Oreochromis niloticus: one gene and its partners. The protein of the gene in region 3 purifies or fractionates together with the protein of the main gene of each other region. This does not show direct contact. Links are inferred from orthologs where the notes say so. Each region holds a gene or a part of one and is shown on either strand. Other genes may lie near its edges. The genes, in order: psme3ip1, psma4, psme3 and mrps34.

Region 1 (7,029 bases), on a different chromosome or scaffold from region 3:
TGCACAAACACACAAAGTAGCGTCATCTGCGGAAGCACTGAAAACAAAAATCTAACATCACTTGCAAAAATGTTGAATATGGAATTATTAATGAACGAACTGAAGAGAGCTTTTCCAAATAAGCTCTACATAAAAACTGGGGGACAGTTGTCTGATACTCGAAGCAGGAGATTACATTTCAATGTTTCCCTTAATATAATCATTGCTTCCAAGTTCTGAAGACATTTTTGAAATCTTGAATTTCATCAGAATTAAAAGCACCAAATTATGGGAGTAAGTACTTCCATTATTGTGTTGGGAGACGAATCTCAATTCCCAACCTGACATACAGTTGTGTGAAAGAGTGTTCCTGAATTTCCTTGGATCACAGCGTGATGTCTGGCTTTTAAGGATCTTTTGATCTACTTTAATCACTTTTTCCACACAGGTCCACATAGGTTTGGATTTTTGCCCCCTTAATAATAAACACCTTCATTCAAAAACTGCATTTTGTGTTTACTTGTGTTATCTTTGTCTAATATTTCAATTTGTTTAATGATCTGAAACATTTAAGAGTGACAAACATACAAGAAAATCAGGAAGGGGCGCAAAGTTTCACACCATTCTAACTCTGATCAACTCTTCAAGATTAAATCTACAGACTTTACAAGGTTTCCTCAAGAACCAAAGACATTTTTAAGACTTGAATTCATAAGTGGACCTTAATGATGTCTAAAAATGGTGGCTTGTGCTGTAAAAAGCTTAAGTTACATTTGCTATGAAGCTGTTCAAAAACAACCTTTAGAGACTGAATATTAAAGTGTACTGACACATACTGCTGATAATACATTATCTCTTACAATCACAGAATTACAGAAGAAAAGTGTTCATTCAAACCCTGATGAAAAGTGGAGTAAGGCACAAAACACCCACAAAGACCTACTGAATTTAAACTGCTCCTCATATTCTTCTTGTTTCTTGTCTTTCTGTTCCTGCAGCCGCTCAAAGAGGGAGCGTGGGTCATACTCCTCCTCTGGGACCTCTGAGAAGTACAAAGGACAAATATAAAGGGGTTACATGCACAGTGGGACATCCTTTAGAGGTTTGGTAAAGTTGTGGATATGTGTTCTTACCCTCTGGGTCGTCAGGTTTTCTGATTTTCTCCCATTCCTCCTGTCTCTTTTTCCTCCTCTCATCAAGCTCCGCTTCAGACACAAACTTCCTGCTGAGGTCGACACCTGCTCCTTCTGCTTCTGCCATTACAACTGCGCAACATAAAACACAGAAATTAGCAGATTCTTATATAGCACTTTTCTACTCTGAGCACTCAAAGTGCTTTCTGTGCAACATTCACACTCCAATGGACGCATTGGAGAGCAACTCTCGGTTAGTGTCTTGCCCTAGGATTTTGGCATGCAGACTGGAGCAGTCGGGGATCGAACCACCAACCTTCAGATTAGACGACCTGCTCTACAGCCACACACAAGCTCTGAATACCATTCTAAAATGTGTTGTCCCATCTCCGCACCGGACACAGACCATTTACAAGTGACTGCTCGATCAATACCTGTGGGTTTTCCTCAAAGAACACAGAAGATTAATTGATTCTTGACATATCTCAGCAAAAAATAAGTCTATTCCATTAAAATAAGCAAAACCCTTAAAAGACTTTGCTGCTGACTACTGCCTTTTTTACTGCATCTCTGCATTAAAAAAAGAAAACAAAAACAACTACTACTTGTTCCATCTGTGCCCTTTAGGGGTCGCCACATCAGATCATATGCCTCCCACTCATCCTATCCTTTGCAACCTCTTCTGTCACACTAACCCTGTGAATGTTGTCCTTCACGAAATCCATGAATCTTCTCTGTGCCCTTCCTCTTTTCCTCCAGCCTGGCAGTTCTATCATCAACATCTGTTGAATATATGCAATATCCCTCCTCTGCATATGTAAAAACCATCCAGGTCTTGTTTGCCCAGCTAACTTAGTCTCCAAACCGTTCAGCCTGATCGATCCCTCAGATATACTCATTTCTAATCCTGTCCTGATCACTCCCAGTAAAAATCTTAACATCTTCAACTCTGCCACATTCAGCACTGCCTCCTCCTGTGTTTTTGTTGTAATCATCTCCAAACCACGTATCATAACAGGTCTCACGATAGTTTATTTTGCCACGTTTCCTGACAAATCAATTTACTGGCTTGCAAAATATTTTGTTGACTTTAAAAATAAGGCACAAAAGATGAAAATGGCCATCACGTGACAGCTTTCATTGGTTGGCATTGCAGCAGATGGCATTAAGCCTGTTATTTTTTATCGGTTCATCACATACAAAGCGATAACAAGCGCAACAGCTGGACAACCACAACACCACTGCACAATATTTCGACTAAGCTGTGCCGATCTGCGTGATTTCTGGCTTTTATTTAGCCCTCTGATGAATATGAAGATTGAAGCCATTTTAAACTTTAACTGATGTGAAATAAGATGACGAGTGAATTAAATGAGAGATCTGCTTAACTGACCGAAGCTTTTAGTTTATAATGGGCCCTGATGATCCACTCACCGTTACACAGAACAGCGAGAACAACGGCGGCTGCTACACAGAGTTAGTCCCTTAAAGCTGTGGACACACAAAGATTAAGGGAAACACTCACACACCTGACCTCTTGCCTATATAGCAGAGCAGCAAACTCTGAACTCGCAGATGCCTTGTGCGTTGCAAACCCGCGGCTAACGTTAGCTTCGTTAGCGTTAAAAATATTCTTTAAGAGCAACAGAACATCATGTCAAGTCTGAAAAGAAACATTTTCAGATGCACGACCAAGCAGTCTTTAGTTTAGGACTGTCTCGTATCAAGATTAAAGACCGGTATGTGGATAAACCTTACCAAGATCCAGGCTTGTCGCTAGATTAGCGCTCCAGTTTAATGATCTTTGTGTCACGCTGAAGACGGCTCGTCGCGAAATTCGGCGTTCGAATTAAGTTCCGACTCGCTTTTTTTGTTGTTAAACGCACGCGGCTCTGTTTTCAATATATGTTAATTGATGATTTTTATTAAATTTTTTTTAACAGAAAACGAAGGCCTACCGAATATTGCCAATGACCTAGATTTATTAGTAGACACAGTTGTTGTCGATTATTAATTATATCTACATCATGTGCTTCTTTTCCTTAATTATACGCACCCTTAATTATACGCACCATTTGTAGTTCAATTTTCCAGAAAAAACAAACAAACCCAAACCTAAAATAAATAGAGGTCGAAACAAAAAATATGCAAAAAAGAGGAAATGTACATGAAAATAAGAAAAGACTAAAACTTTTCAAATAAATTACGTTTGCAGATAAAACCGTGAATATATAGTACACAGTTGTATATATTCGACCTTCTCTGTAAGTTTGCCTTCTCAAATTACCTAATAAATATAAGTAAACCCATAAAAATAAGATTGTAAGCAGTTACCAAATTGATCACAAGATGGCGCCTAAAATCCATTAATGAAGTCCAAAGGTATCCCTGGAGGACTGTTCAGCTACATTTTAAGGGTAAATGGTAATTTATTTTAATCGTTCGTCTTGTTCACGATGACCTCTTGAAATCCCCTTTCAATTTAAGTGACAGATTTCACATGATGGAATGTGTACGTTTAGCAAGCGGCGCCCACAGGCCACAGCCTCCTGTGTTGCTAAAACAAAGTCCAGTTTAAAGAAAAAACGATCCTCCACTCACTTAATTCTTTCCCTCTGTAAACACTTTCTTGGCTAGTTTAAAGTTATGGCTGATAGTTTCAAGTGTTGCTGGACACATGTAGGAAACATGTAGTTCCCATTTTTGTCCAGAAGCATGTTATGCTTTAGGGTGTATGGGATTGGCAAGTTGCTATCACATGACTGTACATTACCATGAAGTAACCTTCAGTTTCACAGTCAGATCCAACCCGTTCTTGTGACATCTGCTTTCAAAAAACAAAAACGATGATAAGTGTAACACGAGGTTTGCAGCTTCTTAAACATGACTTCAAAAGCCAGTGGATGACATCACGGTGGCTTTGTGCAACTTTTACAAGCCAGACAGTGGCCTCACATCATGCAAACACAATTTTTCAATCATAACTTACTTTTAGAATCAGTTTTCTAGTTTGAAAATCTGTTCTGGTTTAATAGTCCAACCTCTGACAGCCTAACCTGCTGCAGTAAGTGTTTGCCCGTCCCTGAGCCTGGTTTTCCTAGAAGTTTGTTGCTTTTAAAAGGAAGTTCTTCCTTCCCGCCGTTATCAAGTGCTTGCCCAGGGGGGTCATGTGATTGTTGGAGTTTTATCTCTAATAATGTAGGGCATTTACTTTAGGATAAGCTCCTTAAGGCGACTGATGTTGTGAATTGGTGCTATATAAATAAAACCGAAAGAAAGAAAAGAAACCATTCCAATGGTTTTATTCAGTGAAGGTTACATTATATCGAAGTTATAAATGATTCCTCATTTAATGATGCACTACGACCAAAATAGTAACTATTGATGATTGCTAAGCTGAAAAACTGAAATTACAAGACAATAGTTTTTGTCCCAGTCCAATGAAAGTACATTTCATTGGACATGGCCTCAGCCATAGTGTCTCTAAAATAACTGTTGTTTGTTCAAAACGCATGCACATAACTGAAACCCAAATGTTCTCGTGGGTTGATTAGTCAGTCTGATGTGCTGCTTTTACCAATCAGCTGGGGAGTGAGCCTTTCAGTGCCTGTTATGCATGCTTCCACAAATGCAGCGAAGTTATTATTTATTTATATTATCAACATGTTGTCAGGTCCTGTGATAAAATGTATTGCACCATGGAGGTTAATGCTAAAAGCTCAGTCATATTTTAAAGGAACAGTTCACCACTTATGGGTGATGGGATTTGTATCAGTTTTGATGTTTTGACTGCAACGATAAGGCAGCAGCTGGTAAACGTATCCAAGCAGGGAAAAAAAGTTTTGTACAGGCTAAATAAAAGTAGTGCTGCCCAATTATTTGTATTTTAATCACAATCACGAATTTGGCCTCCCACTATTTAACGAGCATCGCTCCGACTGTTAAAACTCAAAACAACAGCTAATCAGACGCTCCCTAAAGCACCACGTGTGTACATGTACCGATCACCGCTGTTCCCTGCAGCACGCAGCTTCAGGTTTCTTAGATGCCGTCTGGACACAAATATACAACGAAATTTAAATGCCACCACAGAAAGTCACTGCAGAGGATGAAGAGCTTGCCCCTCAAAACGGATTAACATCTAAATTACAGAAAGTAATAAAGAAGAAATCAAATGCAACGACTGCAGCACAAAGCAACACAATATATTCAAACTGCACAAATTACAGCATAATTAATACATGAATGCGAAGAAAAACAATGCAATGCTAACGTGAATCATCCAGCATCAACTCAGGCGTCCATAATAGCGAGCCCGTGGGCTACAGCGCGCGTCTGTGTATCCGTCACATCACAAAGACTCACTGAAATCACCAATGCAATTGCATTTCATTTGGTGTCCAGTGAGCACGGCGAGTAACGAATCTTTTGAGATAATGGTCAGCCTGATAGACAACAGATATGTTATCATTCCACCAATGTGGTAATACCTGTGTGTATTTTCCCAGCTGGAGTGAAAGACTTTATGTTATTTATCTGCCACTTTTAATTTATAAAACTTATTGAAAGATTTGTACAGATGTAAAAGTAAAATTCTGTTTACACGACAGTAGAATTGGCATCAGATCAATATTGATATTAATACTTGCATGCATAATAATTTGTAGGCTTTAAAAAATCCAGTAGTTCTAAATACATTAAAAGGAGTTAAAGGAAAAAGGAGAACATCTGACCCCTGCAGTGGGGGCATGTGGTGGTCCTGTTATGCTGTGGTTTGGATCCACTTGTGTTCTTATTGGGAGGGGTCACTGCAGGTCAATACACAGCTGTAGGGAGTGATCACCTTTACCCTAAGATGAAACATTTATATCTTGTTGAGAGTGGTTTGATGAGTATCCAAATGATGTGAATCACACGGTGTGGTCTTGATAGTCACCTGAATCCAACCCAACAAAATATCTGTATTTTGAAGTCTCTCCACGGCCATCACCTGGTGAAAGAATATGTGTTGGATGATTGTTGCTTATCTCTCCAGTAGAGTTCCAGAGAATGCCAAATTCCAGTGAAGCCACCAACACCAATATGACACTTTCTGTTGTTTTCTTTTATTCATCCCCCATCTGCATCTGTGAATAATTTCATTTTTTATTTGACATAAACAAATAACAGAATACAAACTTGACTCTGATCCCTTAGATTTGCAGAGACAACGAGATAGCCACACTGTTTCCCATCCACATCCAGGGCCAATCAGTTACTGATCAGCCTGACTTTCATGGAACCCACAAAAAAAAATACAAACACACTCACTGGGAGAACATGCAGACTCCAAACAGAAAGGCCCCGGCTGACCAGAAGCAACAGTGCCAATCTCTGCATCATGCCCTTGTTGGCTGTCTGTTTTTGTACAAGTGTTAGACATTAGTTTAGATTTATAACTCAAGAGCCAGATCCTATGCCACCAGAGCTCGGTGGTGTGCGTACACCTGAAATAGCTTCAGAAATGTTTACTTTCCCGATGTGGCTGGTCTCTGAGCATTTCAGCCTCTCTGTCACCCTCTGTCTTTGGAGACACACATGTTTCTAACCGAAAGGTTCTCTGCAGATGAAGAAGAGGATGGGTTGTCGTGGAAACTGAATCATAGGCTGGTAGCTACGGTGACAATTGCATACAGTCATTTGCTGCTGTGAACACAAAGTGCACACAGTAACACAGGTGCAGACCTAAACTAATGCTGTGGAAAATCAGGAAGATTCTATAGTTCGCATATACATAATGGCCAACTGTGTGTCCACTGCTCAACCTTTGTGCACCTCTGTCTCCATGTTCCTCTGTCTCTGCATCGCGACCCTATTTCACGTCTCTTGAGCTCTGTCCATCTCCTGTTCTTGTTTTAGTCTCTTTATCTATGTCACC
Region 2 (7,618 bases), on a different chromosome or scaffold from region 3:
TGACTAGTCTCGAATACAAAACACACTGAGAAAACACTGAAAACTGCACACACGTTAATGGACGTAGATAAATATTTGGTGTATTTTAGTAGCTAGAAGAAACTGTTAATCGCGTTTCTTGTTAATCAAATCATGTTTTAAATGTTGCTGTTATGTGTGTCACTTTGTATCATGGATGTATAACACTGCAAAAACACAAAGTGTCAGATTAATTTGAAGAATCTTGCTAAGCTTAGCAGTGCTAGCAGCAACAGCAACATGCTAGCCTCCACACCTTGCTGTGGATTGTGGTTACACCTGGCTTTGGTTACTGTTTCCATACACAGCTGACATACACCTGCTAATTCTTTTTGAAATCAAAGTACTGCAGAACCACACGGGTTAGCATGGCTGTCCTCTCTTTACTCCCACCTCTTTCTCATTCACAACTTCCCTTCATAGACAGACAGGTCTGTCTATGAGGGTGGTGTAGCTGTCTGTCAGAGGCTGTAGCCCTGCTTAGCAGCTGTTGGCACAGTAATGACTTTGAACCGGCAACTACAGTTGTACAATAATAAAATAAGAATATTATGTTTAACCGGCAGCATGGTGGCATGGTGGTTAGCATTGCTGCCGCACAGCAAGAAGGTCCTGAGTTCAACTCCACCATTAAACTGGGGTCTTTCTGTATGGAGTCTGCATGTTCTCCCCATGTTTACGTGGGTTCTCGCCGGGTAATCCGGCTTCCTCCAACAGTCCAAAGACATGCACTTAGTGGGGATAGGTTAATTGATTAATCTAAATTGCCCATCGTTGTGAATGTGAGTGCGAATGGTTGTCTGTTTTTGTGTGTTAGCCCTGCGACAGACTGGCGACCTGTCCAGGGTGTACCCCGCCTCTTGCCCTATGACAGCTGGGATAGGCTCCAGCGACCCTGAAAAGGATAAGCGGATGGCTGGATGTTTAACTAACTAGTGTTTCTGGTGTTAAAGAGCAAGGGCAGCAGTGTTTAAATGTCTAGTTGACTAGTCAAGCACATCCCCATTTAAAACACTTTAAATGTAAGGACTGACAATAAGTAGAGGAGATTTGCCGTGGTGAGCAATGTAAAAGGCTGTGAGGATTAAAACAGACAGTGCATCTTACCTCCAAACTGTGTGTAAGCTTGCTTAATGTCACACAGAGCTGTGACCAGCTGCTCACAGGGTATTGGCTCTTGGTACTGCAATAAATACCTAAGAAGAATTCAAACTGGTTAGTGGTTGGTGTAAATGAGAGAAATGGTTAGAAACTACAGACACATGTTTAAGGCTGTAATCTCAAATTTCAGATCACCAACTATTTAACACATTTTGTAATAACATAACTCAAGTAATAAGACTCATTTTGAAAGTGCACCAGTCTACACATATTTAGCTTTTTCTTTATTTGTGGGTATGAAAACAACTGCTGGTGGTGGTGGTTACATCAGCCTGCATTCACCATCATCCCTTTGTTTCTAATTACAGCCATAAAATTGTCTCCTTCTGAAACTCACCTCTGTGCAATTAGCCGCAGCTCATTTGTCAGTACATTAGCATCTGATGTGATCCCAGCAACGCTGCAGGCCATGTCTCTGAAAATGTGACCACAAACGCAATGTTAACCAAAAACAAAATAATTGAATACATTTTAAAGGTAAGAATCTAGTGAAGCTCACTTACTCATTGAGTTTGTAGATCTTCTCAGAGAAGAAAACCTCATCGAGCAGTTTGTGGATGTTGCGTCTCTCTGCTGCCAACAGCACCCCGTCATTTGCTAGGATACCCAGACACGTTCCAGCGTGACCGATTGCTTCCATTGCGTACTCCACCTGATACAGGCGTCCTGTAAATTACAAAAATTTGGGTTTTTAAATGAACAATACTAAAAAAAACCCCTTTAAGACCAGTTTTTGGAAAACGGTGGCTATATAAAATACTAAAGAAAAATACTTTTACAGCAGTTTCACTATGGATTAGAGCTCACAGGTAGCCCCTGAAGTAAAATACTAAACTCAAATTATTCATATGTTGACCCAGAGTGTTTATTTCTAGGGCGTTGAACTAGGCTCATTAATCCACATGTTCCTGCTTTAAGTACTAGTCATGAGTTGGTGTATTTTGATAGTTTGTATTTGGTTTGAAGTTCATAGAGGGATTAAAATAACAAAAACTCATGAGATTGTAATACAATGTAATAATAGAGTGATAGTATTTGGCCTCTTGTGTTGGATTATTTTGACCAGTATTTGGTTACAAAGTCTTAGATAAGAAATAAAACATACCCTCTGGAGAAAATATGGTTGTCCGGGAATCATATCTGCGAGACTAAACAACAACAACACAAAATTAATGCCTATACTAGTTGAAAAAAACTAACAAACAACATTTTGAGATTTTTAAAAAGTATAACAGCTACGTACCATTTTCTCAAGTCGCTGGCAATATCCTGAAAAAGTAAAAAGAGCAGCAGTTACAGACAGGCGTAAGCTGCAGAAGACAAGACCCAAAAACGATGCCTTTTTAAAATCGACACAAGACGTATCTGAATTCAGAGATAAAGAAAGTCAACATATATTTTGCTAAAGTTAGAAACCAAAATAGGTGCTAAAAGTTTCTGAAGCTGGTTTATAAAAACAACGCGTGCTTTAATAAGCCCTTGGCAGCTAGTCGGCTAACTGGTGCAGCAGAATGAATCTGCAATATCTCAGCATGTTAGCTAGCATGCTAACGAGCTAGTTCATAACAAACGAAGTCGCCAAGCTGCTCCACGACAAAAGGAAGTAAAGATGTAAAATTATGCTAAAATAACAAGTGCTGCAGTGACTATATAGTAATTGTGTATTATTTACCTCTGGTGAACGAGTCTAACTTGGCGTACTTTTGCCCAGGATGAGAGGTCCACTACTTTCAGTTTGGCGTTTCCTCACAAACACCGGCGTACCGCGTCAGTGAAGTAGCCGCTCAGCAGCGCCACCTCTCAGTGGGAGGACCGATCAGTCTGTAACACAGTGCACAGCTCACTGACTGCTGGTTAGTGATGTACTTGAACACCTCCTAATGGCACTTTTAAAAATGACAACTTTACCGAAGCAAAAGTACATCCTCCTTCTTCCATCTGCTCCCTCTAGGGGTAGACACAGCGGATAAACTGCCTCCTCTGTCACACCAACCCTTTGCATGTCCTCCTGTGAGGTATTTCTCTGTTTCCTGCCTGGCAGCTCTATTTTTAACATTCCTAGTCCAATACACCCACTGTCACTCCTCTGCACATATCCAGGCCATCTCAGCCTTGCCTGTCTAACTTTTCCCCAAACTGCTCAACCTGAGCTAACCGTCTGTTGTACTCATTTCTAATCCTGTCCATTCTGGTCACTCCCAGTGAAAAGCTTCAACTCTGCTACCTCCATCTCTTTTTGTCAGCACCACTGTTTCACAGGTCTCAGTACAATCTTGTAAACATTCCCTTTCACTTTTGCTGCCATGTTTTTGTCACAAATAACCCTTGCACTGTCTTGTGGAGAAGCAAAAATATCAAATGACTTCTGAGCCATGGCACATGACACAGTTAAGAGTCATAAGGTCATTAGGTATGTTTTTACATGTTGTGGGTCATTGTTGTCATTGAGTTGAACTACTATTCTGTTTTCAGTTATACTCAGTAAGCTGTTAGTCTTTCTTTCTTTCTTTCTTTCTTTAGATTGTAAATATTTGCTTTTATTAATTTGGTAAAATCAATGGAACACCAAGATTATAATATCATTGGGAACATATTTTATACCATGAATGATCAATAAATTAAACCAAGTCGCGTTCACTATGATAAACGCTACTTAAACTAATATCAGAAACTGGGCCCTGATAAAGTATATATTCAAAACAGAAGTCTGGTAAATTACCTTTTCTTGCCTCTTGAACTTGCTGAAATACATTTACTACTCCAGCCCTGGTGGTGCGCGACAGTAACGAGACAGCTGAAATATCCGGAAGCCTAATGTAAAAGAAAGCGAAGAAGACACGTTGCATGTGATTGGGTGTTTGAACAGCATGGCGTTTGAATGGGAGCAGGAAGATCTCAGAGAGTTAGCCTACTAGCTGGGAAGTTAGCCAACTCCGTGTTTTCTTGTCTTGCACCCACGCTAGCTTTAGTTACACATTCCCAGTCATTTGTTGACGCGATGTTTCATGTTCGACTTACACTAAGCAGATGACTCTGAAATAAACATATGTCCGAATAGGTAAGTAGTCACTAAGCTAGTTAACGTTCAACCAATGCTAACATCGTTTACCCCGGGGCTAGCGCGGCTTAAGCTAAAATATGTTAGCTAACAACGCTAAACCAGCAGGTGGCAACTGGCACGTTTTGTGAAGCTTTTGGCTTGCTCAGTGTGTTAGTTGCTATATTAGGTTTACGTGTTGTTTTCAGATGAAACACTGGCGCTCCAGTTGACTCCACGTTGACTCCGGAACGTGGTGTCCTCTGACACCGGGGTCAGCTACATTCTGCTATAATGTGTGTGTGTGTATATATATATATAATCAGACATTTGTAAGAGCATGGCAGTACAGTTTTTGCTTAAGACACTTATTTCTTTAGAAACAGCCTTTTAGCTTTGATTTGCTAGTTTCAGCATGACCCTTGAACTCAGTCGTAGATAACTGGATATAAGTTAAACATTACTGCTCAAGGAGAAGTAACAACCAGTTTTGTATTAAAGGTATTTCGTCATATATTTTGGTAATATTAGGAATGGCAAAAATGGTACAAGATCACCTAAATTAGAGATGTTGGTATTGCATCCGGGAGGATTTTCATGAAGTTTCTGCACTTGCCCTTCAACTCCAGAATACAGTGTCTAATAGAGTTTCAGAACACAAAATGTTTGCCAGTTTTTCATTTTGAATATAAAAAACAAGCGCAGTTTCTTTTAGCTGCCACTTTAAAGACTGTTCTGTTTTCTTTCTTTTTCTTCTGTGTGTTAGACAAGAATCCGTCTGATGAGGGGGCACCTACAGCTGTCAGGATGCAGCAGAAAAGGAACATCCAGATCATCGAATGGGAGGACCTCGACAAAAAGAAGTTCTACTCCTTTGGGTTGTTCATGACTATGACAATCCGGGCCACAGTCTACCCGGCCACTTTGATCCGGACTCGACTGCAAGTGCAGAAGGGCAAGTCACTCTATGGCGGCACCTTCGATGCCTTCTTCAAGATCCTGCGGGTGGAGGGCGTACGAGGCCTGTATCGTGGCTTCATGGTCAACACCTTCACCCTCATCTCAGGCCAAGCATACATAACCACCTATGAGCTGGTGAGGAAGTACGTTTCGCAGTATTCAGAGGACAACACCGTCAAGTCACTGGTGGCGGGGGGCTCGGCCTCCCTGGTCGCTCAGAGCATCACTGTTCCCATAGATGTCATATCTCAGCAGCTGATGATGCAGGGCCAAGGGCAGCACCTCACACGCTTTCGGCTTTACTCAAACACTGAGACTGGAAAGCCAAAGAAAGTGTTTGGCCAAACCAGGAACATTATTGCTCAGATTTTTGCTGCTGATGGGTTCAGGGGTTTCTACAGGGGATATGTGGCTTCTTTACTCACCTATATCCCGAACAGTGCTGTGTGGTGGCCTTTCTATCACTTTTATGCTGGTAAGTGGAAGCTATAGCGCAGTTTCTTAACTTTGAGGCTGTAAGTCTGTCTTATCTTTTGTGTTTTCATTGTTTTAGTAAATTTGTAGTGTGAATGAATGCTTCGTGGCGTCAACATGTGATTAATAACATATCTGCATGTGTAATGTTCTGCAGAGCAACTCTCTAAACTGGCTCCCAGCGACTGTCCTCATCTGATCTTACAAGCCATGGCTGGACCACTAGCTGCTGCTACTGCCTCCACTGTCACCAATCCAATGGATGTGGTCAGAGCCCGAGTCCAGGTAAGCTATTATATTTCTCATCAAATACAAATGTTGGAAGTATAGACTGTATATAAAGGAAAACTGCTTCCTGTCGAATGGCCAACAGGTGGTGGCACCTTTGGTTGCAAAAAGAAGTCTGTGTGAAAATGACCCTTCCTATTCTTTATCACCAGCAGGATTGCCTGCGCTTCCAGCTTTGCATATCTATTTTTAAATGCTGGTAGAAATGCAATCAAATGAGTTAGAGCATTATTTTTTTGCATATAAAACTCCAGGAGTTGCGCTTACATATTGCGCCTTCACTATGTCCCAGACAGCTGTTTTCCTTCTGCTAATGTCAATCATAGGGATGGGTATCGTTTAGGTTTTATCCGATACCGGTGCCGGTACCGGTACTTTTGAAACGGTGCCGGTGCTTAAACGGTGCTCAAACCGGTGCTCAAACCGGTGCTTAAAGAATGGAGAACACAAAATTGGTCCAAAAACCTCTCATGTTCAGCTGTTTTTTTGTAAAAAGATAACAATGTTAGCCTTTTCTGCAGCTATAGGGCATATATGGTCTCACTCTTGGCTGGAAGCAGTGCTTAATCAATGGAAAAAACACAAACTTTGTCCAAAAACCTCTCATGTTTAACTGTTTTCCACTTTTTCTTTGGTCATTTTAGCCTTTTTGGCCAGGGTGAAGGGAGTATCTGCCATCAAACAAGAAGACAGCCGCATGTAACTACGACGGTGTTTGCTAGTTCACCTTACATGCATTAATTTAATAACGTGTTAGCGTACTCAACGTAAATTACACACGAACAACATTAAGCTACTCACCCAGAGAAGAACGGCTGCTGCTGCCATCATCATCCGTCATCATTTCTGCTACACTGACAGGGCTAGGGGCCAGGACTCTCCTCTTCGGGTTCTTGGGGGATGTTGCTAACTCCGGGTCCGATAACAGGCACCACACCCGCAGTAGATGTGCACGGTGTGAGGTCTCGCAGCAAGCAATCAAATACGGCGCATTTCTCGGCTTTTAAAAAAACGCTATGCGTCGCCAGGTGTTTCATCGGATTCAAGGAGTTACCTCATTTGCACAGTATCACAGTATCAGCTTAAAGCACTTGTTGCAGGCTGCTGGGTTTGCATCTTTTGCTGTGAAGTACAGCCAGACTTTTGACCGCTTCGCCTTGGGCATTTTTAATCTGTAGCTCTGCTCTAAAAGAACGTACGTACCTGGGCCCGCCTACTATCTTTGGAAAGGTAAAATATTGGCTAAAATCCAAAGTGTATCACAGCTCAGGAAAAAAAAGCACCGAAATAAAGCACCGAAATGTGCGCTGCTTTTCAGTCTGGTTACTACCGTTTATGTCAGAACCGAAACCGGTACCCATCCCTACTTGTGTTATTAAAAAGTCATGTTTGACTTTTGTGCCTTAGAGGTTTGAATGCACTTTTGGAAATGGTCTATGTTGATGTGCATGCATACTTTTTGCATATTGGCCACAATATGCATTTATTTTCATTTTTGCTGCAAATTATAGCAAGAATACCTCAAAAATGAAGTTATAAATGAACAAATAAATAAATGAATGAATGAATAAAATGTGTGATTTGAAAGGATTTTATGCAAGTTCTTTTCATTTACAATTTTGAGGGATACATTATGACTTTTCTGTATCTGGAGAATAATGTGTTTAAAAAAACATTTTA
Region 3 (7,956 bases):
CTGGGGATGCCAAATGGCCAAAATAACATTACTTAGATAAGATAAGAGACTTTAGAGCTCTTACTTACTGTGTTACATTTTTCTATGAGTGTCCTGATCTCGGGCTTGACCTTTTCAATAAGATCAACAAGGTTCGCATTGCTCTTCATCATCCCATCAGGCATGGCGAAGACCTTGGTGCCAGTCACTGATAAAGGAGTAAAAGTTAAAAATACATAAAATACAGACTAAATATTCAGCCAGCGAAACTGTACTTACCCATGTCAACCCCACTTCCATCCTCCATCTTCCTCTTTTTGGCATTTTGCTGTGAGAGAGATGCAACAGTTACAAACAATTTCTCATCCTTACCTTACCAACAGTTACTGTAACAATACGAAATCTAACTCTAAAATGGATCCTCACCGCTTCTAGCCCATCGTGGAGATTTGAGAACAAGATGGGATCTGGCACTGGCAGATTTATGTCTGAGTGAATTTCCTTCAGTTCAGTGATGTTTATGCTTGGATCCTGAAAAAAACAAAGACAAGATTAGTTGTCAAATGCCAAAATATACAGACATGATAAGAAGAAAGCACATCTGCTGCCAAATCTAATCTATTTCACATGTCAGGACATCAAAAAATCTGATCTAGCAGGTTTGAAAAATGGCTGAATACAAACACAGATGAAAAACATATGACTTATGTAGTGACATATGAAGTCTTGGACACTACTATGTCATTACGTAGTCAACAATAACCAAGCCAAAGGACAGAAGCAGTGTGAGGAAAAACTAAGAACACACCATGATTCAATAGCTTGCAGAACCACCTTTAGCAGCAACAACCTGAATAGTTTTCTGTATGATATCAGTCTCTCACAGGAGGAATTTTGGCCCACTCTTTATATGCTACTTCACTTTATTAAGGTTTGCAGGTGTTTACTAATACACAGTCTCATAAATCCCTGTCACAGTATTTAAACCCAGCTGGAGTCTGGACCTTTCTGGAAAACAGCAAAACACCTTACTCTCTCTTTTTCACTCAATCTGTTGAAGATCATTGTCTTTTGTGACCCAACTTTAGCTGTTAAACAGATGGCCTCACATTTGAATCTACTTTAGGACAGAGAGGAGTTCATGGTCGACTCTGTGACTGGAAGGTGGCCAGGTCCTGTGGCTGAAGAGCCTTCTCCCAGCAAATCTTACAAACAAGCCACACTAGTCCAGTCTTTAATTGTGCTGTCATGCACTTTAACATTCTAACTGAGGCCTGTAAAGTCAGAGATATAACTCTTACAAAAATTACCTCTGAACATTGTACAGTTTGACCTTGGGGGTGAGTTAACTGGAGCATCCACACCTGTGATTACTAACACCCATTTCAATGTTTTCCTCTTGTGAACAACCTCCCTCACTGAAAAATGATGGACTTCAAATTTTTTGCTTTTATAGAGATGTTTATGCTTGCTGATGACCAGTTCGTCAAGTGAATTTGTTTAACAGCACCTGGCTGTTACTATTTTAATTCTGGACAATTGATAAAGACTGACTAACAGATAATGAACTTTAAAGCCAAATAATACATGGGAAGGAATGAGTTTCAACTATCCACAAAGATCTAAAATTATGCCAACTTGATTTAGCTGAATGTACAATTAACTGACCTTGAGGAAATGGTCAAGTTCCAGTAACTTCTTTGGGAAAAAATTGGCGACTAGATCCTCTGCCTGGAAGAAATGTGCATTGTTAGTGGAGTCTTGGACATCACAGTCATAATAGGTGTGTATGAAACTGTGCTCACCAAATATACACATTTAGCTATACATATATAGAAACATCTATATCTGTGAGTTTCCACACTACCTACAAATCAGAAGGTTGGTAGACTGATTCCCCGTTCCTCCAGTCCATGTGTGAATGTATCCTTTGCCAAGATACTAACCCCAGTTGTCCCCAATCCATCAACTGGGGTGTGTGAGTGGGTGAGTGTGTGTGAATGTCAGATAAACAGTGCTCAAGTACAGATAAAAATGCTGTTTGAATGTATGTGTATGTATGTGTGTGAGCAAGAGCGCGATTGGGTGAATGAGGCTTAATAGAAAGTGCTTTGAGTGCTCAAATAGAACAAAAGGTGTTACACCAGTACCACACTGGTTTTTCGCACTTTAGTAAGTTAGATTTAATTTACTCATAGCTGGACGCAGGCTTCCATTAAATAAAGAAGCAGACTCTACGCCTTAATTACAGGCCCCTAAAGGCTAGCTATGAGCCAGGATAAACTCCTGCATGTATATATTTTAATTTACAACGTAAGACAGAGACTTACTTCTGCGGTGATACGTTCCTTGAAAGCAGCGACCTGTAAACACAAACAGATGTACGAGAGTTTGAATACCAAGTTAACAAAAAACACTTTAAGACAGTAAACTTTATTTTGGTCCAGTTTTAAACACATGACCGGTTCCTCAGTGTGAGAGACAACCTCTAGCATTGGTAACTCAACGCCGGTGTGAACGGCAGCTGGCTGAGTTAGCTAACTTGGTAGCTCAGGCCTTCGTCAGTGCATGTGGTCGTAGTAGCAGCAACCATTTTCCCAGCACAGGGGGCTGTAAATCAAACTTTATCTATATCCCCGTTACGTTTAGCGCCACCCTGACACCACACCTGGGGGAAGGTTTGACAGGTGTACTGCAGTGGGCGGGAAACAAGAAACCGGTTAGCCGGTAGCTGCTGTTAGCCTGGCCTTATCCGAGCTCTCACATCATGCTACTAAATGTGGCTAACATGCTAGCAAAGAACATGGCAACAACAACACGCAGTATAAACTCAACTGGAATTCACAAAAGGCCAAACCTCACCTTGGTTTTAATTTCACTATCCAGCTTGAGGAGTGAAGACATCTTATGTAGTCGAATATGAGCAGAACGATTGTCCCAACAGCATTAAATTCACCTGTAAACGTGTGGCTTATCACTTGTCTGCCACACTTCGTGAGCTTAAAGATGACGACAATAAACATGCGACGGAGGCGGTGTTGCAACTGCGCTTGCGCGCAACGTCACCGTCTTTTTCTAGACGCAGCTGACGATGTAAACAAGAGAAAACATCCGAGGGCAGCGGGGCTCACACAGGCCGGGTTTCACGCAAATGATAGCCATTAAGCACCGATAGACGGCGGACATGGGGCTCCCTGTTACTATTAAAGTCAATTTCCGGGGGAACGTGAAGAGGTTTCTGGCTCAGGATATGGATAAATTGGAGTGGGAAGCTGTTGAAGTCTGGGTAAGCAGCTAGCAGAGTCTTGGCTAAACGCTGGCGCAGTTTAGTGAAAAAGTAGGCCTAGACGTTTTGGCCTAGACACATAAACAGAGCTCCCAAAGGATAGTCGATCTTGTTACGACAATAACAATAATGTATTTGTAAATAATATTTTTTTAAGCCAGCCGGAGCTTTACAAAATATAGGCACACAAGTGAGGATGTCCTCAGTTTGATTTAAGGTTACTACATATGTATAATACAGTATCCAGCTGTGGAGGTCTTTCTCACTGACTCAGTCATGGTTCATGTTTTTCCTAACACGTGTGAGGAGAAAAACTGAACTGCTCTCAATTGTTCTGCGTTACTTTTCAGATCAAAGCATCATTTGGGATCAACCACTTTCAAGTGAAATACTTTGATGAAGACAATGAAGAGGTAAGGGATTGTGTACATTGTAGATTTTCAGTGGTTATGTTTTGGCAGAATCCCAAGTTCAGTTTTTAATTTTGATCTCATTTACCTTACATTTCAGATTTGCATAAACAGTCAAGGTGAGGACAATATTTAATTGCTTGTTTTCTATATAATTTATGTTGAATATGTTTAGGTTTAGGTCTTCCTTCAAAGGTAAATCACCAGGACTTTGTTAAAAATATATGTAGCCAGCATTTGTTTAAAGCTTGGTTTAATATACTCAAAATTAAAATACATGTTTGTTTATCAGGTGGCTGAAAAATAACATGAAAAGGCACAAACCTCTGTTAACTAAGATAACAAAGACTCTTTTCCCTAACTACATCCTAACCCATTATGCTTACATACATAGTCACCCCCTAATGACCTGTTTGATCCAGGAAAGCTGTCCAACTGATAGATTCCTAACCTGATATGGACCTATGACAGATAATATTGGCATTCATAACATGTATTGTAGAAATTATGTCAAGTCCTGTCTTCAGAGAATTTGCTTTGAATTTTGCTAAATACAGTGGACTTACCAACAGCTAAACTTATGCTGAACCATTGAAAAGCCATGCAAAACATGTGGTCCAGAATTAACACAAAGGTGTTAAACAGAGACAAAACGTAAAACAGCAAGGGCCTAGAAGACAACAGTGGGGTGTCAAGATCAAAGACATTTAAATGCACAGGTAAAACAAATGGGTAATTCAATTGTAGGCTCAAAAACTCCATGGGGTAGGCAACTGCCTTTTGGTTACGGGGATTGTGATCAACATCCTTTTCTGCATTAATTATAAAAAATGTGTTTCGAGCAAACCGGTTTTGTAAGCATTGTGTTGAATATTCACAGCTTGGCCTGCAGGACATGTAGCATGATATGCATAACAGTAAACAATGATGTGTGAAGTCAAGCTGTGTCTTTCAAGTTGTTAACTGGTCTTTAAAATACATTGCTAGAAAGTTATTACATTTGGAACCTAAACTTTTTGACCCTTACTCCTGGTGTACCCGTACATGAAAATATCAAAATACCAGGAAAAAATACAGATTTGAGCCACAAAATGTGAAGTTATTTATTGTTTGTTTGTTTTTCCCCCCACAGATGAATATGAAGAAGCCATCAAGGTACTGTAGCAGTGCTGGGTTTAAACAGAAAGGACAGAGTGATAGCTTTTGTTACTGTAGAGCAGTGATTCTCAAACTTTTCAAAAAGAGTACCACCTCATAAAATATATGGCTCTTAAAGTACCACCCTTATGACCGACATTAAAGTACAGTGGTATAGGGTTACTTAACACCATATACAGTTTACACGAGACAATTTTATTTATTATATGAATGTTATTTATTTTAACTGTCATGAACAGGATGTGACAAGTGATAATAATAACAACTGTACTGCATTAAAACATTCACAGCAGGTGGGATATCCAATCTTTAATGATGACGTGATGAATCCTGCTTCTGGGTCTAAACTACTCTGCGTTTATTAAGGCTGTTGTGTTTTTGTTGTGTATCTTGTTCTATTTAATCTGAACAAGCCCCTAAAAATGGCATTGATCACTGTCAGCCTCTCTCGGTTATTATCACCCCTGTTCATTTTAAAGCTCAGTTTTTAAAACCTTACCATGTAACTACAGCCCAGGCCATGCAGCGGTATATAGGGCTGGGCTATATCATACTGTTCACGGTAATACCGGTGTAATTTTGGGCAACGATAGGAAAATGAAATATCGCAATAGAATATGGGTAAAACGCGCATGCGCAGTGCCTATGTTTACATACGCACATGGCGGCGACGCAGAATGAGAAGAGCGAAAGTGGATCTTTAAATGAAACGGATGAACCAGAACTGGTTTGTAAAAATGCTGCAACTTCAGTGGTGTGGAACTGGTTTAGCTTTCGTCAGTCAGATACACAACAAAGCACTATTTTTGGTAGCGCATGCTAGTGGGCCGTCGTTATTACCATGTTGTTTGGAAAATACGGCACACTTAAAATCAATCCTTTGATTTTTCTGAAAATCGACAGTGTCCCTTATAATCCCGTGTGCCTTATGTATGAATTCTGGTTGTGTTTACTGACCTCGAAACGATTTTATGTACATGGCGCTCGAAAATCTGTCAAATGTTTTAGTACGACTTTGCTAAGCTACGAACCCGCACCGGTTGATGGATTGTCGGAGCATTACGGCTATCGTAGGCAGAAGCCTCGCGGAGTGATACGTACTGTGCTTCAACATAATATTACCATATTGTGTGTGTATAACCTCTTTTTAAGTTTTGTGGATATTATACATGGTTTTGCTGAGGATATGTCGGCCGATTTCCACTGGAAATGCCTTTTGGTTAAACTGTCAGCAAGGAATTTGCACTGTTACATTTTTATATAACTTTAATGCACATAAAAAAATAGCTGCTTGTTTAAGTGAAAATACATTGATGGTGTTTTTTGCACTAATAAAGTTGTGGAGTTGTAAAGTATTTTGTCTAGTGTCAATTATATCGTCAGTTATATCGTTATCGCAAATTTTCAAATGTATATCGTGATAAATATTTTTGGTCATATCGCCCTGCTCTACAGCAGTATATTAATGGCTAACCTCATATTGTGGATGGATTATCTCAGTTGTTCTCCTGACTGAAGTTTGGTCCGTTTACAGCATCCTGCCGATTGCATTTGTCCCTAACCATCGGGAACCCTCACGTTAACTTTTATTGAGTGGAAAAAAGTTAGCATTCATCCTCCAGCTTCACTGTGTTTATATTATGCTAACATAGACGTATTGCTAGCCAGCACGTAGCACATTATTATATACCAGCTAGCCCAACTTCAGTAACCCTACAAACGTCACTCCTGTTTAGTTTTCTGTCTTCATTTATGTTGGAAGTGACAGCAGAGCTGTTTGAATTTTTCTGAAATCTCTCAGTCAGAACATGGCATATTATTTAATCGTAAAAAAAAAGGAGACTTCACATGTACCACTAGAGGGAGCCCACGTACCACCAGTGGTATGCGTACCACAGTTTGAGAACCACTGCTATAGAATATATCCTTACATAGAGAACCTGCACCGTAAAACTACACTTAAGACATAAACAACACAACTGTGTCCTTAATTAGACTACCAAAGCTATAGAAGAACAAACAGTGAAAATAAGAGAATATATGTGCAGTATATGTACTATGCATCTGTACACACATCACGTTGCTACTGTGTGTTCTCATGTCACTTGACTGTGGTTTGCATTCTGTGCTAATTCTCCATGCAGAGTGCAGAGAAGCAGGGAAACCAGTTGCACATGAATGTGTACAAGATGAAAGGACAGGCCTGTGGGGGCCCACTGAAGACCGAGGTGAAGGAGCTGAAAGGAGACCTTCGACCCGCTCCTCCTTACCCCTCAAGGGTTAAAACAGTGGACAAAGGCACGCAGGTCACCCCTGAGCGAGAAGCTGTAAGTAATTCTACTCTTCCCCCCCAACTTTCTTCTCCCTATAGATTCTCACATGTGCAGTGCCTTTGAAATCATTTTAATAAAGTCAGTGCCTCGAATCAGTTAAGTTTTTTTTACCTGTTGGGGAAAAAGTTTGTGCTTATTTATTAAAAGCTAAAATCTCTGATTTTGTCAATTAACTGAAGAATGGTGTATTTTCATGCAGGTAGCAGTAAAAGATAACAAGGGGAACAAACCAGATGATGAGCCCCCTCCTATGTGGTTTAGATCATACATGGAGAAGGTAAAATTTAACTGCTGCTGTGAAGCAGTATTTTTACATGGAACGTTTTATTTTTTAATTGGCGATTAAATAAAATACTGTGCTTTCCTTCTGTTTTTCATAGTTTAAGGATGAGGTGGTAAAGGAGGTAGTGGAAAGAATGTGCAGCGACTTTTCTGTCCAGTGTTGTACCCACAAATCCCCTGAAGGTCCCCCTGAGGCAATTGGGGCTATTGGCGGTATTATGGGACCCAAACCAGGCCCCTCCACCTCGAATGGATCCCTTGGCTACACCCCAAACTGCAGCAGCTGCAACAAACTCACCTCTGAAGGAGCCTACAAATGCAGGTATGCATGAAATTAACTCTAGTCATCACAACAATGTTTTTAACGATTTTTACATGTTTGTTGTTTTTTAAGTAGCTGTGTAAATGTTTACATTAATGTTTTTGTTATTTTGCCTGCCAGCGTGTGCCCGTCCTGCATCCTGTGTGAGATGTGCAGACATAGCCATGACCCTAGCCACAACCTCGT
Region 4 (6,219 bases), on a different chromosome or scaffold from region 3:
GCCTTCATTTATTATTTATAGGTCTGAATCTGACCAGTGGTACGACACTCTACACTGGATTAGGATCCTTTTCATTAAAATGTACTTTTAAAATCCTGGCAAAGGTTTGCCTTATTAAAACACAAATCACAGGAAATGCTATAAACCAGCAGAATGGCAGCAGTATACTAAAAACCACCAGTGACTCCATGTTTAACATAATTTGTGAAGTGACTATGTAGGTTAGCTTGGTAGCATATGCAGCTTTGGGGTCAAATGTTGAAAAACACTGGATGAACTGCAACATAATGCAAATGTCCCCTTGAGTCATTTTAATTGTATTATTATACAAGAAAATGACTAAAGGCTACTGTTTACTTTATACTCTGATAAGGCTTTTTTTTTTTTTTTTTTTTTTTTTTTTTAAAGTTCTCAGATCTTAACCAGAATATATCCAAGTCAAAGTTACAAGTTTGCTGTGCACTGTGATGTGATGTGCACATAAAAAACAGAAATAACTTAAAAGGGGCTACATTTCATCTCAAATTTAATATTCAGCATACAACAATAACACACACGCACAAGGGCCTACATCAGACCCACAAAGAAGTAATCTGAGTGGAAGATTCAGCCAGATATAGAGAAGTATTTGTCAACAATGATCTAGTCCAAAAATATCCAGGATTAGTGAACATTCAAGTGAAACCATTACACCGCGGTCCCCTCTTTCCTCTGTCGCTCTTGTTCCTGCGTGTGAAAATAGTCTTTGTTAAGTAGAACATCCCTCTTTAAAGGCAGGATGGGCTCCTCTGCCGTTCTGCTGCTTCCTACTTTCTTCTGTTGCGCCAGCAGCATTGCGCGAAGCAGGGGAGGGTAGGCGACGTATCGGACGGGCGGCTCGGGCAGAGGCTCAAAGTCCTTAAACTGCTGCTCCGTGTCTTTGGGAATCAGGCGCCAGTCATGGTACATCACCTTGTCCACCTCTTTGACCTCGCTCTCCTTTTTCCCTGCAAATGATAGTTTGTTTGGAGAATATTTACCAAATAACACATTTCAGGCAACACAGATATTCATAAAATACTGATTAAAAATGACTGTTACAGTAACAACAAATAAGACAACACAGGCTACAATGACCATAAACAGTGCTATTATTATTAATAACAGATCAAACTAATCTTACCTTTATAAGTGAGGATGCCCCACGCTTTGCCATGATCCATGTTCTACAAAACACAAAGAATAGTTTCCATTTCTTTAGATACAAGACTCTCACTTTTATCTAGCATAACAGTGTGCAGGCTCCATGCTCTCACCTCGGATGTGTAGTCCACCTTGACCTTGGTGATCTGCCAGTAGCTGGGCTCGGAGTGGTCCTCCAGCCAGGATTTGCGGGTGAAGAGTCGGCCCACTCCGAACAGCCTCATCCCGGCCAGCAGGGAGAAGAGGCGGCTCTCCCTGCGGACATCCTGCCATGCTAATACCGGTAGCATCTTCCCCGTGAAGGGCCGCTTCATTGTCTCGTAGTCCAAGGCGTACTTCTGGGACTCCCGGGGCCGGGACTTGAGCTCCCTGTACGCCCTGATCTTCCGAGCCATTTCCGCGATGAGGCGAAGTCTCTTCTTCTTCACCATGACTGCAGTGTCTTCCTCACAGCTCCGATGGACACGGGTCAGCGATTATCCTGGAAAAGAAATGAAAATAAAAAGAAATCTTGTCATATCTGATCTTGAATTATGTCTTTGAGGTGTTAGAGAAACGAGATAAAACTGCAATCAAATGGGAAGCATCCTGTTAGCCGGTGCTCCGTGCTAAATAACACCAGTTATTAGTCGTCCCAAACATTTGTTCCGACCCATAGCAGTGAGCTACTATCGAAAGTGTTTAAAATCATTAAATGTCTACATTAAATACCTGAAAACTCCCCAGAAAGAGAACTGCTGCTACTTGACCTCCGCAAGCAAGGTGCAGAGCTTCCGACGCTCACTTGGTCCGGGCATAAAATGCTCCGTGGGAACAGCCAGCGTGCTTTTGTTCCGTGTAAGGAGAAGTTCCGTCTTCATAAAAAACAATTTTAAAAAATTAAGAAATGAAAATTATCATTTCATAAGAGAGCTTAGATTAGCCAGTAAAACGTATGCCAGGCAATCACACACGAACACAGTAAATACAAAGTATTTTAAATGCAAAACCACCAATTAATGTGTTTTTAAGATGCAGTGGGTTTACGGTTCCTCTTGTCGTCAGTTTCCAAACAATCCGTTCAATTTCAGTAACTTTATGTATTAATTTATTTGTTGTAAATATCGATATTCCTTCCTTCTTATCTCAATAATTTACCGTGTATTAACCCTCTATGGAGGACCACAAGAGCCACTAGCCCGTCTGTCTTAGTTAGTCCTATTTTGCTTGCTGTATGTCCTTTTCCTTAAACCAAATGCAAAGGAAACTTACAGGCAGCTGAAATGAATGACAGGTGAAAACATTTTTTGTGAGTCATTTTCAAAATGAAACCCCCCAAAAGAAAAGAAACTTCTTTTCAACAATATGTAATATTAATTGTTAAGCTTTCTTTAATATGCATTTAATAATCAATATTCTTTCTTTCTGGATTGCTGTGTTGATGATTCCAAACAGAAGAAAATTTAATTTATATTTTATTAAGAATTTTGTCTGACTGCCTGTGAAGTCAGACATCTATGAAAACCTGGATTGTTACACACTCAACAGCCACTTTGTTAGGTACACCTGTTAAACCTGTTCAACAATATCTAGTCAGCCAAACACATGCCAGCAACCCAAATGCATTTAGGCATGTAGACAGAGTCTAGAAGACCTGCTCAAGTTTAAAGTGAGCATCAAGAAAGGTGATTTAAGTGACTTTGAACTTTGGTTCTTGGTGTCAGAGGGGCAGCTTTGAGCATTTCAGAAAATGCTCATCTGCTGAGATTTCTCCAGTCACCACAGTGCACCTTTAGGATGTTAAATGTTGAATCTACGCCACAATGAACTAAGTAGTTCTAAAGGGCAAAAGGGGGCCCAACTCAGGACCACTAAGGTGTACCTAACAAAGTGTCTGTGAGTGCAGATTAACACCAGACAGTAAACAAAGGATTTATCTTCATTACTAAAGCACCTAAAGTACACACAGGAGGATGGGGAAGATGAGTGTGCTGTGAGAAATGAGACACAAACAGCAATGAGTCACTGTCAGCTGCAGAAACATTCACAACAAAAACCCGACCTCTTTAACAAGCGCCCAGTTGACCAGCAAAAAACGAATTTGTTGCTACTAAATGAACAAATGGAGCCCATGCTGCATATTTAGCATTCATTTTATTTTCAGCTGAAAATCATGCTGATACAGAGAAAGGCAAGTGAAGGCCCTCACATACAGTATTAATAATATGACACAGTATAGAAGAAACACTTAGAATTTACAGTAAAACAGTAAGAAAAAAGTGCTTTGATGCATCGATGTGAAGACAAATTCATCTGCTGGACCACAATTAACTTCCCGGTGGTTACATTATTCTATATGGGGGACGAGGCAGCTGAAAGATTTTACTCAACTAGATGATCTGTGGCTCGTGAGTGATGAGCATGGTCCTCTGGTACTATCCCTGCTGCTCCATAATGACTCCCTAACCTCACCCACTGCCTCAGAGAATGCTTGTGTTGCATAGTACCTTAGGTATTTGTATCAGTGTACTGAAACCAAGAACTTTGAGGACATCAGAAACGGGTGTCTGACCTCTGGGCAAAACACTAATGTTTCATTATTATGGTTTGCGACTACAGAGAATCTATTTACATATCTGCCCCACATGTCTCACCGTACCCCAGGCTGTCATTCATGAACACTCAAATACTCAAATACCCATCAAGTACTCTGAGCTTCTCTGTACTGAAAAACATTTATATACAAAAAGTGTTTGTATATATTAGGGCAGGCTGCAAAACATGGCTGCAGCATGCATGTTTACACTTTTATGGTACGTCCCAGCCATCAACAGTATAAAAGATGGACTAAGTGTCTCAGGTCTGAAAACAGAAGCCACCAGGGGGCGATACCTGTGGTTCCTAAAAGACTTCTGGTCCCATAGTAATCTCTGGGGAAATGCCCCCCCTGCTGGAAGATCTGTAATCGCTGTGCTGCAATAGATTTAATGTTCTAAAGAGCATTAAATCTATTTTGTAAATTTGACTCCTTCCACAGTGCTTAGCAAATTTCTCAAATCACTGCCCAGTGAAAGGTTTACGCCACAGCTGCCCTAAATTATCAGTACTCAGAATTACCAAAATCCTAATGATTTGATTTTTTAAAAATATTCACTGTTTTATTTTTTAAAAATCTGAAAAAAAATATGCCAAATTACAGTTATTTAGTTTTAGTGGTTGAATATTAAGGTTGACTTTTTTTATGACTGGTGGTCTGGTAAATTTGTTAAGCACTGCATATGTCGGAAAGGAGGATTATCCAGGACATGCTCACTGGTAGCCAATGAGCATGCGGTTTAATAGTCAACTCCGCCTCCTTCTCATTGCACTGGATACCAAAATGCCAAGACGGCAACAGCAGAAATTCTTGGTGTCATCACGGTAGCTATGTCCATCTTTTTTTTACCATGGTCCCAGGAGATTATTGAAACATAACATTTTCTAAAAGGTATAATGTCCCAATAATCGTTGAATCAATCAAAATATGGCTCAGGTTTTTGGGCAGTGATGCAGTTTAGGTGATGTTGCCTCCGTCCACTGCCTGAGTGGAAAATAAGATGTACGCGAGGACATCTCAGGCCCATCCGTGTTACTTTTAAGCCATTGAGAATGAGAGAAAAAAGGATGTTAGGCCTCTTGATAGGTCTACACTTTAGTCACAGCTTGACTGCTTCACTTCAGATCCACTGTGGTGGTGAACAGAGGCAAAACAATCCTTTTCACAGACTCCTCGACCTGACTGTGCATGGTCTCAGTCTCAATGGTCATTGTAGCAGTAGCAACACCGAGTCTGTCACAATGATGACACCTTTAGCCATATAAAACCATATTTGGACAAAATGAACCGTATTCATACTAAACACATAGTGTGGGAGCGGATTACACAGCAGGAGGATGGATATCTTTCTGTACACAATTTCATATTTACTATTTTCTGCTCATCCACTGCACTAGAGAGGATTTACAACACAGAGCTTGAACTGAATTCGGGGCCAGAAAAGCTGCTTTGAGAAAGACTTTTGAGAAAGAAAAAAAGCTGAACAAACTAGTGCTGGGCGATATGACGATATATATCGTGTGGACGATAGAAAAGTGTCTGTCGTGTCATTTGTCTTCTATCGTTTCTAACCCTAATTTTATAAATTATTACATAAAATATATCATTAACCCTTTACAACCGGTCGGAGCAGGCACACTCCGTTTTGCCTAACTATTTTTAAATCCCTGTAGAACTGGAACCACGTAAGGTAGCGCAATAATTGTTTTTGCATATGAAACCGTAGGAGTTGTACTTACATCTTATTCCATTAGCTCGCCCTAGGTCACGGTTTCCTTCCACATATAGCTTTGCAAAAATTGCATAAAAAGCACTTCCAGCAACAAAAACATAATATTCCAGACTTGCAGCAACAAAAACATAATATTCCAGAAGCACGCTTTGCCGATCGGATCAGCTGTTCATAACACTTCCTACTTGGAATATAAGTCAGCGCGAACTATCGCATGTCCGCCATTACCTGTCCGAAACCGGAAGTTACGTCATTTTCGCGCAAAATGTAGTTTTTTACCTTCAAAGCCTATGTTGGTGTTTTTAAAAGTCATGTTTGACTTTATGCTTTTCTGTATCGTTTCTGGGATGCTTAGAAGTCAAATTACACTGTTGGAAATAGTTTATTTTGATTCACATGCTGGTTTTTTGCAAATTTGCATTATAATATTTATTTTCATTTTTCCTGTAATATATACAAATTAGTGTATCTCAAAAATAAAACTATGGAGACACTCAAAATAAATTTATCGTGGTTGGAAACTATTTTGTGCAACTTTTTTGTATTTACAGTTTTGAGGTATAAGCCTCTTAAATTTCTCTAACTGGAAATGTATGTAAAAAAAAAACAATAATGATTTTCAATTTTTTTGTAGTTTATTGCACTTTTTTGCAATTTATGTAATTACTATGCACTTAATGCATACATATTATTAAAATTTGGGCTATAACGGTTGTATTGATGTATAGCA

The links.
Region 1: the proteins of psme3 (region 3) and psme3ip1 purify together in Homo sapiens (affinity purification with mass spectrometry; 4 studies listed by BioGRID and IntAct, counting the BioPlex papers as one, with this or other methods). This does not show direct contact. The link is inferred for Oreochromis niloticus from reciprocal best matches to the Homo sapiens genes PSME3 and PSME3IP1.
Region 2: the proteins of psme3 (region 3) and psma4 fractionate together in Homo sapiens (co-fractionation; 3 studies listed by BioGRID, with this or other methods). This does not show direct contact. The link is inferred for Oreochromis niloticus from reciprocal best matches to the Homo sapiens genes PSME3 and PSMA4.
Region 4: the proteins of psme3 (region 3) and mrps34 purify together in Homo sapiens (co-immunoprecipitation; 3 studies listed by BioGRID and IntAct, counting the BioPlex papers as one, with this or other methods). This does not show direct contact. The link is inferred for Oreochromis niloticus from reciprocal best matches to the Homo sapiens genes PSME3 and MRPS34.

Annotation. Positions count from the first base shown.
Region 1 is NC_031972.2:7,609,686-7,616,714, reverse strand, and holds the start of psme3ip1 (PSME3-interacting protein), read right to left. Parts: upstream 3,022-7,029; 5' UTR 2,871-3,021; intron 2,604-2,870; exon of another isoform or gene 2,547-2,603; intron 1,245-2,546; 5' UTR 1,240-1,244; coding exon 1,113-1,239; intron 1,022-1,112; coding exon 923-1,021; intron 1-922. UniProt on the Homo sapiens protein: Promotes the association of the proteasome activator complex subunit PSME3 with the 20S proteasome and regulates its activity.
Region 2 is NC_031965.2:10,700,012-10,707,629, reverse strand, and holds the start of psma4 (proteasome subunit alpha type-4), read right to left. Parts: upstream 3,001-7,618; 5' UTR 2,852-3,000; intron 2,449-2,851; 5' UTR 2,426-2,448; coding exon 2,423-2,425; intron 2,328-2,422; coding exon 2,285-2,327; intron 1,846-2,284; coding exon 1,683-1,845; intron 1,595-1,682; coding exon 1,517-1,594; intron 1,215-1,516; coding exon 1,126-1,214; intron 1-1,125. Other genes in the region: slc25a44b (solute carrier family 25 member 44b), read left to right, coding at 5,024-5,651, 5,808-5,935. UniProt on the Homo sapiens protein: Component of the 20S core proteasome complex involved in the proteolytic degradation of most intracellular proteins. This complex plays numerous essential roles within the cell by associating with different regulatory particles.
Region 3 is NC_031973.2:6,504,257-6,512,212, reverse strand, and holds the start of psme3 (proteasome activator complex subunit 3), read right to left. Parts: upstream 3,014-7,956; 5' UTR 2,884-3,013; coding exon 2,842-2,883; intron 2,343-2,841; coding exon 2,310-2,342; intron 1,711-2,309; coding exon 1,648-1,710; intron 511-1,647; coding exon 406-510; intron 308-405; coding exon 259-307; intron 188-258; coding exon 69-187; intron 1-68. Other genes in the region: nbr1a (NBR1 autophagy cargo receptor a), read left to right, coding at 3,164-3,265, 3,616-3,678, 3,776-3,794, 4,808-4,830, 6,978-7,160, 7,366-7,443, 7,547-7,770, 7,891-7,956. UniProt on the Homo sapiens protein: Subunit of the 11S REG-gamma (also called PA28-gamma) proteasome regulator, a doughnut-shaped homoheptamer which associates with the proteasome. 11S REG-gamma activates the trypsin-like catalytic subunit of the proteasome but inhibits the chymotrypsin-like and postglutamyl-preferring (PGPH) subunits.
Region 4 is NC_031969.2:14,051,532-14,057,750, reverse strand, and holds mrps34 (small ribosomal subunit protein mS34), read right to left. Parts: upstream 2,050-6,219; 5' UTR 1,894-2,049; intron 1,664-1,893; 5' UTR 1,614-1,663; coding exon 1,296-1,613; intron 1,206-1,295; coding exon 1,163-1,205; intron 987-1,162; coding exon 688-986; 3' UTR 510-687; downstream 1-509. UniProt on the Homo sapiens protein: Required for mitochondrial translation, plays a role in maintaining the stability of the small ribosomal subunit and the 12S rRNA that are required for mitoribosome formation.